Mus musculus: one gene and its partner. The protein of the gene in region 2 interacts with the protein of the main gene of each other region in a pairwise test. Links are inferred from orthologs where the notes say so. Each region holds a gene or a part of one and is shown on either strand. Other genes may lie near its edges.

Region 1 (8,945 bases), on a different chromosome or scaffold from region 2:
TAAATTGTTTTCTATTGACTAATAAAAGAATACATGTGATAATCAATCTACTTCACATTGTTTACAATACTAGAGCTAGTTAAACTAAAGATATAGAAACAAAAGGTAAATTCACACCCAAAAGCTCTCAAGTCAAGATGGAGGTCCCAAGAAGTTACTGAAGTAGCAATTTCAGAAAGACAAAGTAATCAGGAAGTTAGGGAAAAATAACAAAGGATGCAAATGGGCCCAAGCACTGGCTCCCCAGGTGAGAGCTCTCGCTGTGCACACTGGCCAAGCTGAGCAAAGGCAAGAGAGAACCACCTCCACATCCTGAGTGTATATGCCCTCAAAAGCGTGTGCGCGAGCACACACACACACACACACACACACACACGCGCGCACACGCACACATACACACGCACACACACACACACACACAGAGTAATAAAACATTTTCCTAAAGGCAGTATTGAATGGGACAAAGAGACAAGTTAGAGCAAAGTTTTAGCGTGTTCAAGGGAAGTGGTCACAGAAGAGGTGGGATTCTGTCTGCCTGAAGAAAGCAGAAAAATGGAAGCTTACAAACAAAAGGGAAGAAGTGACTGCTGAAGTGATATCGTGAGTCTAAAATGAACTCTTTCCTTAATATTTACTTTTCTGTTTAAAATTTTTTATTTTTGTTCCTTGTGACAGGATCTTACTTCTTTAGCTCAGGATGTCTTGGCACTCACTAAGTAGCCAAGTTAGACTCAAACCCATGCCCCTCCTGCTTTAATATCCTGAATGTCCAGATTACAGGTATGAGTACTTGACCAACCCCTTTGCAAAGAAGCGGGTCTCTTGACTGTGACATAAAACACAGCACATTCCCTGGACCTAGAATCCTAGGTGTGTGGTAACGGCAGAGAGCAGGAAAGAGGAGTGGATGTGTACCATGGAACGTGCGTGGAGGTCAGAGGACAGCTTGGCAGAGTTAATGCTCTCCTTCTACGACTCCATGGGCTCCAGGGACTGAGGCCAGGTCATAAGACTTCCACAGCAACCACTCTCACTCTTGGGGCATCATGCTGATCCAGATCCTAGTAATTACTGAGCTGCATCCAGTTCTAATGCTCATGAGGCTGTTCCAAGTAACAGCTCCCTAAGATTCTCTGTTGAGTCAGACGAATTTTAAAGCCTTAGTACAAACTCATCAATCAGTGAATATATAGTTTTCTAGTCTTTACAAAAAGAGACAGTAGGTTCAGTTATGGTTAGATATGAAGTTATCCCCCAGAAGATGATATATTGAAGGCCTGGCCTGCAGTAGATATGAAAACTATGACCTGGGAGGCAGTGCAAGCTATTTGAAGTGGGTCCCATGCAGATGAAGTGGGTCTCTGAGATGTACCTTTGAAAGGTATCTTGTTCCCAGCCTTACTTTGTCCCTCTTTCTGCCTTTTCGCCACATGAGATGAGTATCCCCCTCTGTCATACTCAGTTTCTGGCAGGATGACCTATCTAACCTTAGGCCCATAGCAATAGAGCTAGCTAACAATGGACTAAAACCTCAGACAGAAACTGTAAACAAAAATAACCCTTGTGTTAAGTGCACTCCACTACCCAGCCAGGTATGTGCCACAGTTAGTAAGAAGCTGCTGGAAATGGCCTAAGAGAGTGCAGAGAGTGCTCTACTATAGACAGAGCCAGTCCTTCACATCATGAGGAGCATGACCTCAAACTCACTTCCAGGACTCATCTTAAGACCTCAAATTCAGCGCTCTCCTACTGAAGCAAACATTCTAGCTGACACAAGCTTCAATTTTCTTTCCCAACAATCTTGTAAGTCTTTCAGTGGAATTAAAAATTAACAGATGAATGTTTAAAGCCTACAAGAAAACATGAGCTCAGAGTAACTTTGATTAGCCTAACTGAAGGAGGAAAGAGAAAGGTTAAGAGCCACTAATTAGGGACTGGACCACAAAGGACTTGGTCTCTCGTTACACTTAGTCAAATTCTCCTTCTTTCCCTAAATTTAGCTTAGAATGACAACAGTAAAGAATGATAACACAGAACAGCAGTTCTGAATGAACAAGAGTTACTACTTGGGGAGCACTGAGATCGCTCAGCTACTAAAGGCACTCACTCTTGGACCTGCTGACCTGAGTTTGACCCCAGAAGCCACACAGTGGAAGGAGAGAACTGAGTCCTGCAAACTCCTCTTCTGACCACACACACACACACACACACACACACACACACACACACACACACACCAACTTGGACAGCTGGTTAAGATTTCCTATTAGGGTCAAGTAACTTTGTCTTCAGTTAATTGGTCCACACAGCCACAGGAAAGGGATAAAGGGGGAACAAAACAAAACCAAAAACCAAAAAAGCCCAAACCTAGTCACAGCTCATATCAGCCTTAAGGGTGACAGGATCATTACCACGTCACAAGCTACCATCACTAAAAGGATTTTTAGGTCAAGCCCTTAGTTTCACGAGGAAACTGAAACACAGAAAGATTCAGACACGCCTAAGATCACAACTGGTCATTGGATTTTTCTTGTTGTTTTGAGACAGGGTTTCTTTGTGTAGCCCTGGATGCCCTGGAACTCGCTCTGTAGACCAGGCTGGCCTCGAACTCACAGAGATTTACCTGCCTCTGCCTTCCGAGTGCTGGGATTATGAGTGCACCACCACCACCTAGCTTTGTAAACTGGTTTATAAACATTATTAAAAAATATTATTATTATTATTATTCATACTTTCTCCAAAACTTTATTATTTTCAGAAGAGTCTTAGAATTTACCAGGGCCAACTATTATTCTCAGATAAGACGGGCAGACACAGTAAGACTATGGCACTGACAGGGAAAGCAGAAGAGGACTTACTTCTGGGTCTGCTAGGCGCTGTGACAGACCTACAACAAACACAAGGTTTTTTTGTACAACACGTACACTAGCCAAATGTTTTCTATTTTCTGAGATTTTCTGTTTTCTTTCATTTTGTTTCTGTTTTTTCTCATTCTTTATCCTTTGTAATTCTTCCTGGGAAAGTGGTTTGTAAACTGCTGGATCTTCTGGATATGGCTATAAATAAAACAAACAAGATAAAGTCAACATTAAATAAATAGAAAACTGAATAAATGATAAATATCCAATTCTGAATAGCAGGTGTGTGATTGTTAGTTTCCCTTCTTCTGACAGGTTCAACTGCTTTAAACTAGATTTTTATTTAATAAAACTTAAAAGTACTAAAGCTTAACAGAGACCACATTTCACACACATGTCTCAGCAACAAAACCAACTACTCAGTCTTGGTATTCTCATAACACCTTGCACAGTTCTTTGATAATTATGTTACTAAGATGCTGTATAAAAAGGCAAACAAAGTAATTCTTTCAACAAAATATGGACTTTTGTATATTATAATCAACAAATATTTAAGGACATCCTACTATGTGCTACAATATTAAGCTATCTCCTTGTTTGTATGTGCAGGTATGTATACATGTGTGGAAGCATTTCTTTGGGGCAGAGTTTCTCAGTGAATCTGAAGCTCACTGGTGAGTGGCTATCCTAGCAGGCCAGAAGCTCTAGGATTCTTCCCTAACTCTCAGGTGCAGGGTCATAGAAACATTCCTGTCTTTTACATGGATGCTAAGGATCCAACTCTGGTCCTCAGGAATACATAGTAGGTACTTGACCTACTAAACCACATCTTCAGCCCATATCCTTTTTGGCCCTGTTTTCTGTTTTTAAATATACTCCTAGTCTAATAGGAAGAAACACAGAACATAAATATTTAGACTCTGGCTCAAGAGTTCAAATTTAGTTCTATTATTATCTGGTCATAAGCCCTTAAACAACTCAGTCCCTAAACCTCACTATTCTCATGTATAAATTACAAATAATCCTAATAATTGATGTAAAGATTAAATAATACTCATAAAACAATTATCATTGTACCCTCAAAAAACTATGAGCAATCTCTTTATGTTTTTGTCTTTTTCTTCTCACAAAGTATTTTCCTTCTTACAGCTAATATCAGAGTCACTGGGGAACAAGAATATGGAATCAGAGTGCCAGGCTTTCAATTCCAGCCAACCTGCTCTAAAACCTTATGACCATTCTGACCTAGCCTTCTCATTTGTAAAATGAGAATCACATTTAGCCAGAGGGTTTCTGTGGAAGTAAAAAGTTAAAATATGCCCCACACAAATAAGTACTAAAGAATCAGTTATCAGTACTACTAATAATGCAATAAATGAAAGGCAGTTACTTAAAATGAAGTAAAGATCCCAGGGGTGATATGATGATTAATTTTCAATGCCAATCTGATACACCTCTGGGCATGCTTCTAATAGTGTTTCCAGAAAGGACTGAGGAGGAAAGGCCTATCCTAATGTGGATGGCGCCGTCCCACGGACTGGGGTGCACAACTAAATAAAAAAAGGGCAAAGGTCAACTGAGTGCCAGAATGCTCCCTCTGCTTCCTAACCCTGGTAAATACCTCTCTTATTTAGTACTAGAAAACTAAAGCACAGTCACCCCACACATGAATACAGACCATGGTTTTCTCATTCCATGTTATCATATCCAAACTCATTAGCTCTTTACCAATCATCTCAATCAGTAAGCTTCAAGACTGTCTATCTCCTTAGTCAGAGAGACTTTATGACTTTATAGATGCCAGATAGCTAGTTAACACAACAAAGGCAACATCTGGCCTTGGCTCTCAATCCACTGCTCTTAAAGATCACACGATGTCTGTTTTAAAACCAATCACTCATACTCATGGGGAAAAAATTATAGTTCATACTGGACAGTACAAACCTATGAAGCAGAATACAGTGGGTTTGAAGCACTTACTTTTCTACATGCAGGACAAAGCCCATTCTCATCAGTGCGAATTCGATGCCAACAAAATCGGCATATCTGGTAGCCACAGGTGCAAGGGAAAAAGTTAATATCATCTATTTCCAAGGGCTCCATGCAAAGAGGGCATTCCACAGGGTCTTCCTTTGCATCAGGACTGCGAGACATCTTCACGTTTATATGACAGCAGCAAAAGTTTATAATAATTTAAGGGAGAAGGTAATTCAGCACTGAGAGCTAAAATATAGAACTCTGAAGACCTGCAAAAAGAGAAATTTAAAAACATACCACTCACTACAGGAAAAATACTAACTTTTTGCTAAAATCATGGATAGATTTCAGAAAATTTCTGCATATCAAGAAAAAAAGAACTGGCATTATTAAGTTTCAGATGCAAGAGAGATGTAAAGGGTTCTCAGTTCTGTTCTTTTTCCAGACATTTAATGCTGATCTAAACACTGCTTATAACACATTTTAGGAAAAATAAGTAAAATAAGATGCAGCTTCAGCTTTCAGTTTTTTCAGCATAACCCTGAGATCAATGGGATGGCTCTGTAGGTAAACTGCTTGCTGTAAGAGCCTGCTGACCTGAGCACAGTCCTCAGAGCACACCGGGGGAAAGGCAACTCTGTGAGGTTTTCCTTTGACCTCTACACACACACCATGACATGTGCAAGCCAGCATACTCATGCTCTTTCATAATAATAATAATAAAAAGTTTACAACCATGCAGACTGAACTATCCTTCATTTAAAAGCTAATACTCCCACCTATGTAAAGAAACATAACTATGATATGCCAAAATGTATCACAATTTACAAAGGGGACCAATAAAAATGGGGTTTAATCACAGTTACATACTAATATCATCTGGTATTGGCAGAAAAATATAGTTTGAAACTAAACACGCATAGCATAACTGTTTACAACTATGTAATACTATGCAAGTAAAAAGAAACTGCTAAGGAAATAGATTTATAAAACATTCCTATAGTAAGTGCTATAAACAGCCTGTAAGAAATCAGACAGAGAACAAATGGGTCTTTCTTATTCAAATCATGTTTTGTGAAATGTGAATTCTCTTTAAGTTATGGAACCACAGTTAACAATTCTATGCTAAAAGTATGTTGAAATCACTATTTGCAGGTCAAACTGGAAAAGCTATAAACTAATCTACATGTTGATGTAATTCCTCATCAAAATCACATCATAATGGTTTTAACAACACACATAATATGACAAAGTGCTTCTAAAGGTTACACTGAAGAGTACTTGAGAATAACTGTCATTTTTGAAGGAAAATATGATGATTAGCCTTATCAGATACTCATCTGTCTTTGTGGTGCACACCTTTAATCCCAGCACTCGGGAGGCAGAGGCAGGCGGATTTCTGAGTTCGAGGCCACCCTGGTCTACAAAGTGAGTTCCAGGACAGTCAGGGCTATACAGAGAAACCCTGTCTCGGAAAACAAAAACAAAAACAAAAACAAAAACAAAAACAGAAGAAGCTATAACTTCTTACTACACAAAAGTAGAGAAAACATCAAAAAAAACTAAAAACTAAGAAAATAGGCCCATGAATAAATAGTAAAATGTTAATTTCAAACAGAAATCACACTACTAATTGATACAGATAGGATGAATCATTTTATAAATAGTAAGAAACATTGGTACATTTCTAACTTACACTATAATAAAATAAACCTCTGTGCAGTAGTGGCACAAGTCTTTATCGCAGCACTCAGGCCTGAGTTTGAGGCCAGTCTTGTCTACAAGAGAGTTCCAAGGACAACCAGGACAACATAGAGAAACATGTCTCAAAAAGCCAAAATAAATAAATAAAATAAAGTAATACTCAAAGCTGACTGGACACTTATCTGGTATAGTAAACTACTAAAATGTTAGAAAACTAGTTTAGTTTTTCCCCCCAACTTAAGCCCAGTTCATCCAAAATGAGATTCCATAAAAAGATACAGTTGACTTATAACATGAACAAAATTAAAGACGAGTAACCTAGGTTAGGTTCATAGCACCCACATAGTAGCTCTTAAACATCCATAACTCCAGTTCCAGAGGATCCAATACCTTCTTCTGGCTTTGAGGGCACCAAGCACATATGAAATCTTTAAAAGTAGACAGACAGACAGACAGACAGACAGACAGAAGGACAGCAAGTAGATAAAGGCCTTTTTAAATTTAATATACTGCCTATGAAAGAAGCTCTTCTACATAAATACTTACATATACCAAATATATTATGTTCAGCAATCATTATATCAGAGCAAAATACTGCCAATATAGCATCCACCAAAGGGGAGCTGATTAATTGTTAGATGAAGCAATAAAGCTGGGAATACTTATAATCCCAGCATGAGTAAGTAGAGGCAGGGATGATACAGGAATGCTGCTATAGGGCTATAGTATGAAAACCTGGCTTTTAAAAAACAAAGAAAGAAAGACACATCAATTTAGTAAGTTTGTTTAAGCTGACTTAGAGATCTATTCTTTATTAAGGTTTTAAAAAGAACAAGCTGGAAAATTACTATCTAACTCTTTCTCTATATAATAAGCCCTGTATATATAAACTTGGCTTGAATTAAAAGACTGCATCTATTTATATTGCACTACAGACACATACTGCAAATTACAGCTTTCTAGAACTATGTATGAAGGAATGAAAATCCTAAAGAAGTGACTCACAAGAAATGCATGCAAATAGTATGTGTTATTTATTCATAGGGTCAGAGACAGTTTGCTTCCTCTTTAAGTGTTCTTCTATTTTTGAACTTGTAGAAATGAATACATGCTTTTCTAATAGGAAAAACATTAGAACTTTATAACTAAAAAACAAAAAAGAATAAAAGGATTGATGAGACCGAAACCAAACCAAACCAAACCAAACCAAATCAAACCAAAAAAGCAAACGTATAATTGACAATCAACAAGCCCTTATTAATGTCCTCTCAGAAGGCAGCTAGGAGTTTAAGAAATTAAAGGCTGAGCTTGATGAAAGTATTATTGATAAGATAAAATCAAATCTGCACAGAATTAAAGCAAAGACTAATAAGTGTAGTACTACTAATTAGCTTTCTACCACAATTGTGCAAGTTAAAAGAGAAAGCTGCTTGTATCAGTTATTTTCAATTCAGAAAAAAATAACAAGTGGATTCCAGAGAAGCAACATAAAAGAAGGGCATACCTGTTTAAAAGTCTGTAAGAATGGAACCAACTCTGTACTTGAAAGAACTGTGTCCAGGTAATGACAATTTTTCCTTTTTCCTGAACTTAGAAATTTGTTCTTATAAGTATTGTTGCTTATATCAGTTTACAGTTTATCAGTAGCAATGAACAAAATGGAAAATATTAATTCAAGAAACACTAAATATGGTGCCTGCCTGTGGTCACAAAGACTTGAGAACCTGAAGCCCAGAGGATTTTCTGAGACCAAGAGGTCAAGAGAAGCAACTAGTGAGACCTGGAGTGGTGATGAGAACCCACACCATGATATGCTGGCACACACCCATAGGCCATCAAAAGGGAAAAGCAGGAGGGCTGCGCTGAGTTCCAGGACAGCAAGGCTACATACAAGGATTGATCCTGTCTCACATCAGGGTATCAGTAACTCTAGCATGAACCTCCAAAGCAGTTTTTGTTTGTTTTAAACCATTTTGATCACAGAGTATGCTGCCAATTAAGCGCTTTTTCTTTTTAGTAAGCTATTACTGTAGATCCATCCCTTTTTTTTTAATCAAAATATTTTTTCTTTTTTTTAATAGATATTTTCTTTATTTACATTTCAAATGTTATCCCCTTTCCTGGATTTCCCTCCGAAAACCCCCTATTCCATCCTCCCTCCCCCTGCTCACCAAACACCCACTCCTGTTTTCCTGTCCTAGCGTTCCCCTATCCTGAGGCATCGAGCCTTCTCAGGACCTCTCCTCCCATTCATGTCCAACAAGGCCATCCTCTGCTACACATGCAGCTGGAGCCATGGGTCCCTCCATGTGTACTCTTTGGTTGGTGGTTTAGTCTTCTGATTGACATCCTGCCTCCACTTGAGTGACGTGAGAGTGAACGCTGTTTCCCTACCTTTTTAACTGT
Region 2 (8,945 bases):
TTCTAAAATTAAAAGCCCACAAACTCAGTCGAAAAGGTATGATTTTAGCTGGGTGTGGTGGCACATGACTTCAAAAATTTTTTTAAAGATTATTTTTATAGGAATTAAACAGTATCCTTAGTTACAGTATTGTTTTGCAGTGAGTTGTAGCCTTTTGAAATAGTGTTATGCTCTCCTGAGAAGGGAAGTGTTATTTTTTTTCCTTCTTTGCTTTGAGACAAGGACTCATTAACTAGCCTGGACCAGCCTGGAGCTCACTGTTAACCCGGATGGCCTCTAGATTCTGTCTGCCTCCCAAGTGCTGGGGTTAAAAGTACATACCACCATGCCTATGTTTGATGGAAAATTTTGTTTTATGTTCCTCCAGAAACTACTTTAATTGCTTATTATACCCCATGAGCACCTTGAGGTAGAGCTTTGAAAAGAATAAGGAATGATGCTTGCCTCCTAAAATAATACTTCAAAATGACAGTGGCTTTTAGGCTGAGCATGGTGACACATGGTGAAATAGAGGCAGGTGGGTTTCTGTGAGTTTGGGGCTAGCTTGGTCTATATTGTGAGTTCTAAGCCACCTAAGACTACATAGAGAGACCCTGCCTCAAAAAAAAAAAAAAGAGCAAGTAGGTTTTTCTGAAACTTTAACATGATGGGCCTTGTGGTGTAAGCTTGTAATAATAGCACTTGAGAGGCTGAGGGAAAGATGAAGAGTTTTAAGTGAGGTCAGCCTGAGCTATTGCATAGGAAAACCCTGACTTTAAAAGAAGCACATATCATCTGTTAAAGTCTGAAGATTATTTGTTGTTAAAGTGTCATGAGGAAGTCCAAGCCAGATGCTGTGTGTTGTGATTCAGAGAACCTGGACTTCATTTTATCTGTTGTTGTTTTGTTTTTGTTCTTGTTTTTGTTTTTAAATACTAATTCTCTACTGCTTTGTCATGTTGATTGGCTAGGTTGAAGAGCTTAAAGAAACTGTGAAGGAAGAATTTATGCCTTGGGTTTCCCAGTATCTGGTTATGAAAAGAGTCAGTATTGAGCCAAACTTTCATAGCCTGTATTCAAACTTTCTTGATACATTGAAGAATCCTGAATTTAACAAGATGGTTCTGAATGAAACCTACAGAAACATTAAAGTAAGAAGAGTTCTTACATTTCCTTCAGCTTTAAAGTTGATCTTGCAGGTGGAACATGGGAAGGTTTGTGTTTTTCTCTGTGCTCTCTGTTAGGTGTCCATGGAGAGTGCCATAGGTTTGGTTTGGAATGATACTATTGGGCCTCATGAACATTGTAAAATCGTATTTGTGCGATTGTCATACATATGTTTGTGCTCAGAGGATAGCTTTCAGGGGCGGTTTTCAAACTCAGAATATCAGAATGTTAGTTTGGTAACTGTCACTTTTACTTGCCCAATCATCTTACTGGACCAAGAATCTAATCATTTAGACATAACCCTATGTAAGTATAGTCCCTCTTTAAAATAGGTTTTTCTGTGATAAGGAACAATACTCAGTATTTTTGTGGCATGGCATCTTGTTGACTTGTGTCTATGCATGTGTGAGTTGTGTCTATGCATGTGTGAGTGCGTGTGTGACCACTTCTTTCTTATCTTTGGAGACTAGGTACAAGTTCTCAGGTCTCTATCCTTGTTTTTAATAAATGGTCTTACAGAAAAACTCATTCTGCTGGTTGAATGTCAAGATATCTCGATTTCAGTCCTATTTGAAATAGCTTTTTGTTCTGGGATCCTATGTGGTATAAGGCCAAACTCTTATACTTGTTCCATAAAGTTCAACTATTTTATTTCTAATCTACCATTTATTTTTAAATATGAAGCTTTGTAAAGAAACAGTGCAAACCGGATGGAGATGGGGTCTTTCATTTCTGAGTAACTTGGGGCTGGCTTAGGAACTAGCACTATATTTAAACCTATGTATGGGAAATTTCCCCATTCTTGGTTACGCTGTAGTGCAAAAAGAATTCCTGGCTCCTTGTAGCACAGCTGACTGATGCCATTTTGCTGTTGCTTTATGGAGTTAAGGGACATGACTGTACAGCTTGCGTTATCTTTTCTAGGAAGGAGTTCTGTAGTCTTTGGAATTTCCTACGTACTCTGAGGCAAACAACAACCATTCATTTGTTTGCTTTCTCTGTCATGCTGGGATTCAGATTCAGGGTCTTAGACATGGTAGATCAGTATTCCACCTCGTGAGCTCTTTAAAACCTGTTTCAAAGGTAGTATCGACAGTTTGCTAATGCATGCAGTAAGATACCAATGGGATACACGGGATAGGTCTGCTTTGGGTAGGTGCTCAGAATTGATTTCTTTTAGAGAGGCCAGGGAAACTCTCAAATACGAAATTGAGAATTTCTTTTATATGCTTATTCACTTATTTATAAATTCTGTATTATCGCAGGTGCTGCTGACTTCTGATAAAGCTGCGGCCAATTTCTCAGATCGTTCTTTGCTGAAGAACTTGGGACATTGGTTAGGAATGATCACATTAGCTAAAAATAAACCCATCTTACACACAGTGAGTTTTAAGATGGATATATGTTTTGAACTTGGCTATAAGAAATGTTTTAATTGTCACTGGGATTTTATGTCTTTGACCATGTTTGAATTCTTATTTCTGTGCTCGTGGTCTCTTAGGCTCTTTTAGGATACAGAAAAGCCAGTGGGTGTGCTTTTTGTCGGGCAAGAATCAGATAATGTATGTTGGCAAATGAGCTTTTAGTGAGATATTATTCTTTTTTTTCTCTTTTTGCGCATATATATATATATTTATATTTCAAATTTCAAATGCTATCCCGAAAGTCCCCTATATCCTCCCCCCGCCCTGCTCCCCAACCCACCCACTCCCACTTCTTGGTCCTGCCGTTCCCCTGTACTGGGGCATATAAGGTTGGCAATACCAAGGGGCCTCTCTTCCCAGTGATGGCCGACTAGGCCATGAGATACTATTCTTAGGTTCTTATTTTATTTTACTTTTCCCTGAGGACTTCTGGAACAGAAGAACATCAGCTTCTCAAATGTTTTGTTTTAAAATTCTAGGACTTGGATGTGAAATCTTTGCTGTTAGAGGCTTACGTTAAAGGACAGCAAGAGTTGCTCTATGTGGTGCCCTTTGTTGCCAAAGTTCTAGAGTCCAGCATTCGCAGCCTGGTGAGTAAATGTTAGTCCTGGGGAATTGGTGAGAGGCTGCTCACACAATACCAAAAGATCAGAGCTTTATTCTTGTGCACATAGAGCTAGTTGAACAATCTTCCTTAGTTGGTCCTAGATTATTACACATTAAGTTAGGTGAAGAGGCTGAGTGGATCAGCTTTCCACTCCGTTTTGTGTTTTTCTGGAATGGGTTGTATCTAAGAATGGGGCTTTTGTCACTGTCATGTTTATTTACTTGTTGGAATAATACAGAGTAAAGGTTTGATTTAGGCTGCCTTAATATCATAGCTCTTCTTTAGGTTTTTAGACCACCAAACCCCTGGACAATGGCAATTATGAATGTATTGGCTGAGCTGCATCAGGAGCATGACTTAAAGGTAAAAGAGCTGCCTCTCTCAGAGGATTCTGGGCCTTCAGATGATTTAATGTAAAGATAGACCAGTACAGGGGGTAGGCAGTGGTCATTGCACCAGTGGATTGAATTGTAGGATATATTATGGACAGAGCTCAAATTTTCTCTTATTCTAATTAAATACTGGAATCATGCAGTTAAACCTGAAGTTTGAGATTGAGGTGCTCTGTAAGAACCTTGCATTAGACATCAATGAGCTCAAACCTGGAAACCTGCTGAAAGATAAAGATCGTCTGAAGAACTTAGATGAGCAACTCTCTGCTCCAAAGAAAGATGTCAAGCAGCCCGAAGAGCTTCCTGCCATCACAACAACAAGTAAGTGCACAAGTTCATCAGATCCTTCTCAGATGACACCACTCCTCATAAGCCACCTAGCAACCACCCCACACTGTGAGCCATCTGATTATCAAGTGTGAGCAGCATCTAAGGATAGGCTTACTAGATCGTCTCACTATCTCTTAAGATAATTTTAAGCAATTATGAGTAGATGAGTTGTTCTTATATCATAGCCTGGCTAGCTTATCTTGCAAAACATTTAAGTATCACAGTACTTGAATGACATAATAGTATACATTATTTCTTAAAATCCAGGGTTTGCCAGATCAGTCATGCCTACAAGGACAATCTTATCTGCATCAAGACAAGAGGTTTAGAGGTACAGGGCTCTAATCTTAAGAAACTAAAGGCAAGAGGATTGTGCATTTGAGGACAACTTAAGCTACATGAGTTTGAACCAGCCTGGGACCCTGTTTAAAAATCATTCCACAGACGCACAATGTGCACACAGAGAGGGAGAGACAGACAGACAGAGACGCACTGGCACTCACTAGTGAGACACACAGGCACACATACTCCCTGGTGATGGTGGGATTGCCTTTGGGAGTTGGATGTAGTTATATTAAAGGTGAGGAGTTGGTAGAATATGCCAACCAGCACCCAACACCTCTTCTCCCACCAGCCTTCTCTTGGCATCTGACAAATCCCAAATGAGCCTGGTAAAGGCTAGGTTGAGAACATGTACCCACAACACTGCCAGATATTGGAAGCTTGGCCTGCCTAATACAGGATTATCCTGAAAATGTTCCTGTGCTGTAGACATTGCCACTAATAGACCGGCTCATATGTCATACAATAGCAGAATTTCTTTTTCAAAATGGGAAAAATATGACATTAGCTGCCCCTACTCAAGAGTTGAGACATAGTTTAAATAGATAAGATCCATTTATTATCCAGCTGATTTCTTTGTTCAGTCGATAAATGTGCTTTTTATCTTTTACTTTACTTTACATGTAGCAACTTCTACAACACCAGCTACCAGTACTACGTGTACAGCCACAGTTCCACCACAGCCACAGTACAGCTACCACGACATCAATGTCTACTCTCTAGCAGGCCTGGCACCTCATATTACTCTAAACCCTACAGTGAGTGAAAACTTATCCTTCTTCTTTTAAAAGATTGACTTATGTGTTTTACCTGAATGCATGCCTGTGCACTACATGCTTGTTAGGTACCCAAGGTGATCGGAAAAGAACATCAGCTCTCCTGAAATTGGAGTTACAGGTGGTCATGCGTGAGCTACCATATTGGTTCTGGGAATCAAATCCTGATCCCTCTGCAAGAGCAGCAAGTGCTTAAACGCTGGGCCATCTCTGCAGCCCCAGAATGCTTTGACTTCTAGTTTGTGGCAGTGAACTCTTGGTTACTTACTTCCCTGTTTACCAGCTTTCCCCTGGGATATTTTTTTAAAAAGTAGGGGATCTATAATGTGTATATTACAATAGGCAAACATTTTAAGCGGTTAGGATTTCTATTTTTTACTCTTAACCCTACCCCACAGTGATTTAATTATGCCAGCAATAAAAAGAGATTCTTCTTGATGTATACTATAGTATTTTCCTTTGGCCTTCATTATCATGCCACTTTGGCCTGCTATTTAAAGCTACTTCTTTTGGCAGAATGCAGTTTGTATATATAATTTTTAAATCAAAGTCTTTACATTTAGCTTTATTTTATGTATAGGAATGTTTTGCCTGCATGCATGTATAAGCCACATGTGTGCCTGAGGCAGCAGATCTGGAAATGGAGTTATGACTATTGTGAAGCTACACAGTGGGGGTGCTGGGAACCATAGCCCAGGGACTCTGCAAGAGCAGCGAGTGCTTTTCACCAGCCAGCCGTCTGCTGATACTGCCTTCCTAACGGATAATTTAGCTATAACTTTAACTTAGAAAGTCATATGTCTATAAGCAAGTACTATTTGTTTAATGAGCTTGTTAAAATTGAAGGGGATTAAACAGATAAAAACAGATCACAGGTTATACTGACTTCTTTTCTTCCTAGGTTCTGTTTCCTGGGGCTTTGTTAGTTTTATGTGAACTCTGTGGTTTCTGTAGCATTGAAGGAGTACCAGAGTCAGATGTGACTTGTGCCTTGTTTCCTCCTTCCAGATCCCTTTATTTCAAGCTCATCCTCAGCTGAAGCAGTGTGTGCGGCAAGCAATTGAAAGAGCTGTCCAGGAGCTTGTCCATCCTGTGGTGGATCGCTCAATTAAGATTGCTATGACTACGTGCGAACAGATAGTCAGAAAGGACTTTGCCCTGGATTCTGAGGAGTCTCGAATGAGAATAGCAGCTCATCACATGATGCGGAACTTGACAGCTGGAATGGCTATGATTACTTGCAGGGAACCTTTACTGATGAGCATATCCACCAACCTCAAAAACAGCTTTGCCTCAGCCCTGCGTGTAAGCAGACTGTTTTGTGTACTATAAAATGTATTACTGGTCTGTAAGAGCTTGGGCCTGTGCTGTGTGTGTGTGTGTGTGTGTGTGTGTGTGTGTGTGTGTGTGTGTGTGTGTGTGTGTGTGTGAGAGAGAGAGAGAGAATTTGAATGAATGTGAATGAATGAATGAGAATGAGTTAGGGCAAACTCCTTAGCACTGAAGGATACTTCCAGCCTCTGGCGTCTTTTAGATTCTAAGTTGTGTTAAGGCAAAGTGTTGCGTTTGCTTCTTTTTTATGTAGTTCTGTGCTCAGTGTTACTTGTCAGATACTCAGCAGTACCCAAGAGAAGAGGACTTTTTTTTTTTTTTTTTTTAGTTTGGAGCCAGCATCTCAAACATAGATGAATTTAGATTACAGCAGTTGGACTAATAGTTTATAATATATAGTTACTTTACTTTTATCACTTCAAGTAATTTTTCATTTTGAAGTTGTGGGTATCAGATTTAAGAATTCTTGCTTCTTAACAGTTCACAAATTGTTCAGTATGTTCACCACAACCTGATGAAATGTTGAAAAGTATTTTCATCTTATATGTGAATGAATTAGGAATATTTGTAGGTTTCTGCTGGTACATAGGTAGTACCAGAATATGGAATGACCTGTTGACCATACCGCATTTCCTGTTGTACATTTTAGAATTGCTCTTTTCTTTTGTCTTGTGTTCTCAATAGACTGCATCCCCACAGCAAAGGGAAATGATGGACCAGGCTGCTGCTCAGTTAGCTCAGGACAATTGTGAATTAGCTTGTTGTTTTATTCAGAAAACTGCAGTGGAGAAAGCAGGCCCTGAGATGGACAAGAGATTGGCAACTGTAAGTGTTTAGTGTGTATCTGTAAGGTTGTGGTTTCTTTGAGTCTGAGGAAGTGTCTCATAACAAGAGCCTCAGTGACGTTTTGTATTTGTAGGAATTTGAGCTGAGGAAGCATGCCCGGCAAGAAGGACGTAGGTACTGTGATCCTGTGGTCTTAACCTACCAAGCCGAGCGGATGCCGGAGCAGATCAGGCTGAAAGTGAGAACTGAGGCTCTTGCCTCCTTGCTTCCCCTCTCTTTCTCTGTCACTGTTGCATGAACCCCTCCTAAGGACTGTGCATCTATATGCTGCTGCTGAAGGAGCATCTCTGGTAGCAGCTCACTTTCACATTTCCTAGCAAGGATAAAAAGAGTGCATGGACTACTGAAGTTGTGTTTTCCCAACTTAAATTTGCCTTTTCATATTTTCTGGTATTTATCTTTTTATTGATAGCTCCTTATTGATCCCAACAAGATGGTGAGGGTTTGATACTATTTACCCCAAGGGAGAGGAGACTTCCATGGCAGTCTCCTCTTGAGGCATTTCCTAGCGATTGTTGTTGAGACAAGGCTTCCATGTGGACCAAACTGCCTCAAACTTATAATCATCTGGTCTCTACTAAGTCCCAAGTGCCGGGGCAGGGACTGCAGACAGTGCTGTTATAGGGACTCCAGTAAGGAATTATTAATGACTGTAAGTGACACTGACTCTAACAGGAAAATGAGAAAACCTCTTCTGTGATCTGTTGGCATGAATGCTGGCATATGTTGTATTAACTGTTGTATCAGAATTCTGTGCAAGCTTATCACTTGTAGAAAATAAGTTTTAGCTGGGCATTTTAGCAGGGGGTCTGGTGGGGGTGGGGAGAAGCAAGGATCTCTTGAGTTTGAGACCAGCCTGATCTAGTGAGTTCTATTACCAGAGAGAGACTCCATCTCAACTCTTCCACCTCAAAATAAAATAATCCGTTTCTTTTGATTGTGAAGTGAATTCTACCCAAAAAAGGCTTTCTTCTTTTAAGGTTGGTGGTGTGGACCCAAAGCAGCTAGCCGTCTATGAAGAGTTTGCACGAAATGTGCCTGGCTTCTTACCTACAAATGACTTAAGTCAGCCTACAGGGTTTTTAGCTCAGCCCATGAAGGTAAATACCTCATTTGATTAACTTGTTTGTGTTGTGGAATACAATTTAATAGTGCATTGCTTTCTGCTGGGGAGCTTGTTACCGGGTAGGAAAATGGAAGCCATTGGTTACAACTGATCTTTGTTAGATCAGCATGTCAAGCAGTGTAGTGAGTCCTGGCATTAGCTTGACTACTGTTTAGTTCAAGGAAACTTAACTTTTGACTTCCCTTTCCTTTTTTAAATATTTGTTTCTTTAATTTATACTTAAATTTAATGAAAGGGAGTTTCTAAGATTGTGCAGCACATTTAATTGAAGTTGACACTACAAGGAAAACATTTTCCCATAAACCACTTGAGTTGTAGAGCTGCTATCTGCTTTGTTTCTGTTGATTTACTTTTAGAAAGAAAATAACATAAAGCACCTTTATTGAATTTGTATTCTTTTCTGGAGGCTCTTGTCTCTTTTAAAAATAATTTTAAGGTTTAGTTTTTATTAATTTCATCTCTATTATTTTCTTACTTATCCATCTCCAGTTCCTCTGGAGTCCCAGGAAAGAGAAAAAGATTGCTATAAATTGTCCTCTGACTTCCACATATGCATCCATATTCCGCTGAATTTAATGAGGGCAGCCTTCATCGGCATGGGTATAGGTGGGGTTTTTCTGGATC

Evidence for each region.
Region 1: the proteins of Cnot1 (region 2) and Cnot4 interact in a two-hybrid assay, tested with the Homo sapiens proteins (3 studies listed by BioGRID and IntAct, with this or other methods). The link is inferred for Mus musculus from reciprocal best matches to the Homo sapiens genes CNOT1 and CNOT4.

Annotation. Positions count from the first base shown.
Region 1 is NC_000072.6:35,075,123-35,084,067, forward strand, and holds part of Cnot4 (CCR4-NOT transcription complex subunit 4), read right to left. Parts: intron 5,105-8,945; 5' UTR 5,013-5,104; coding exon 4,839-5,012; intron 3,057-4,838; coding exon 2,859-3,056; intron 1-2,858. UniProt on the Homo sapiens protein: Has E3 ubiquitin ligase activity, promoting ubiquitination and degradation of target proteins. Involved in activation of the JAK/STAT pathway. Catalyzes ubiquitination of methylated RBM15.
Region 2 is NC_000074.6:95,739,158-95,748,102, reverse strand, and holds part of Cnot1 (CCR4-NOT transcription complex subunit 1), read left to right. Parts: intron 1-950; coding exon 951-1,130; intron 1,131-1,907; exon of another isoform or gene 1,908-2,043; intron 2,044-2,411; coding exon 2,412-2,528; intron 2,529-3,049; coding exon 3,050-3,160; intron 3,161-3,462; coding exon 3,463-3,540; intron 3,541-3,712; coding exon 3,713-3,890; intron 3,891-4,868; coding exon 4,869-4,999; intron 5,000-6,025; coding exon 6,026-6,322; intron 6,323-7,033; coding exon 7,034-7,174; intron 7,175-7,268; coding exon 7,269-7,373; intron 7,374-8,175; coding exon 8,176-8,295; intron 8,296-8,945.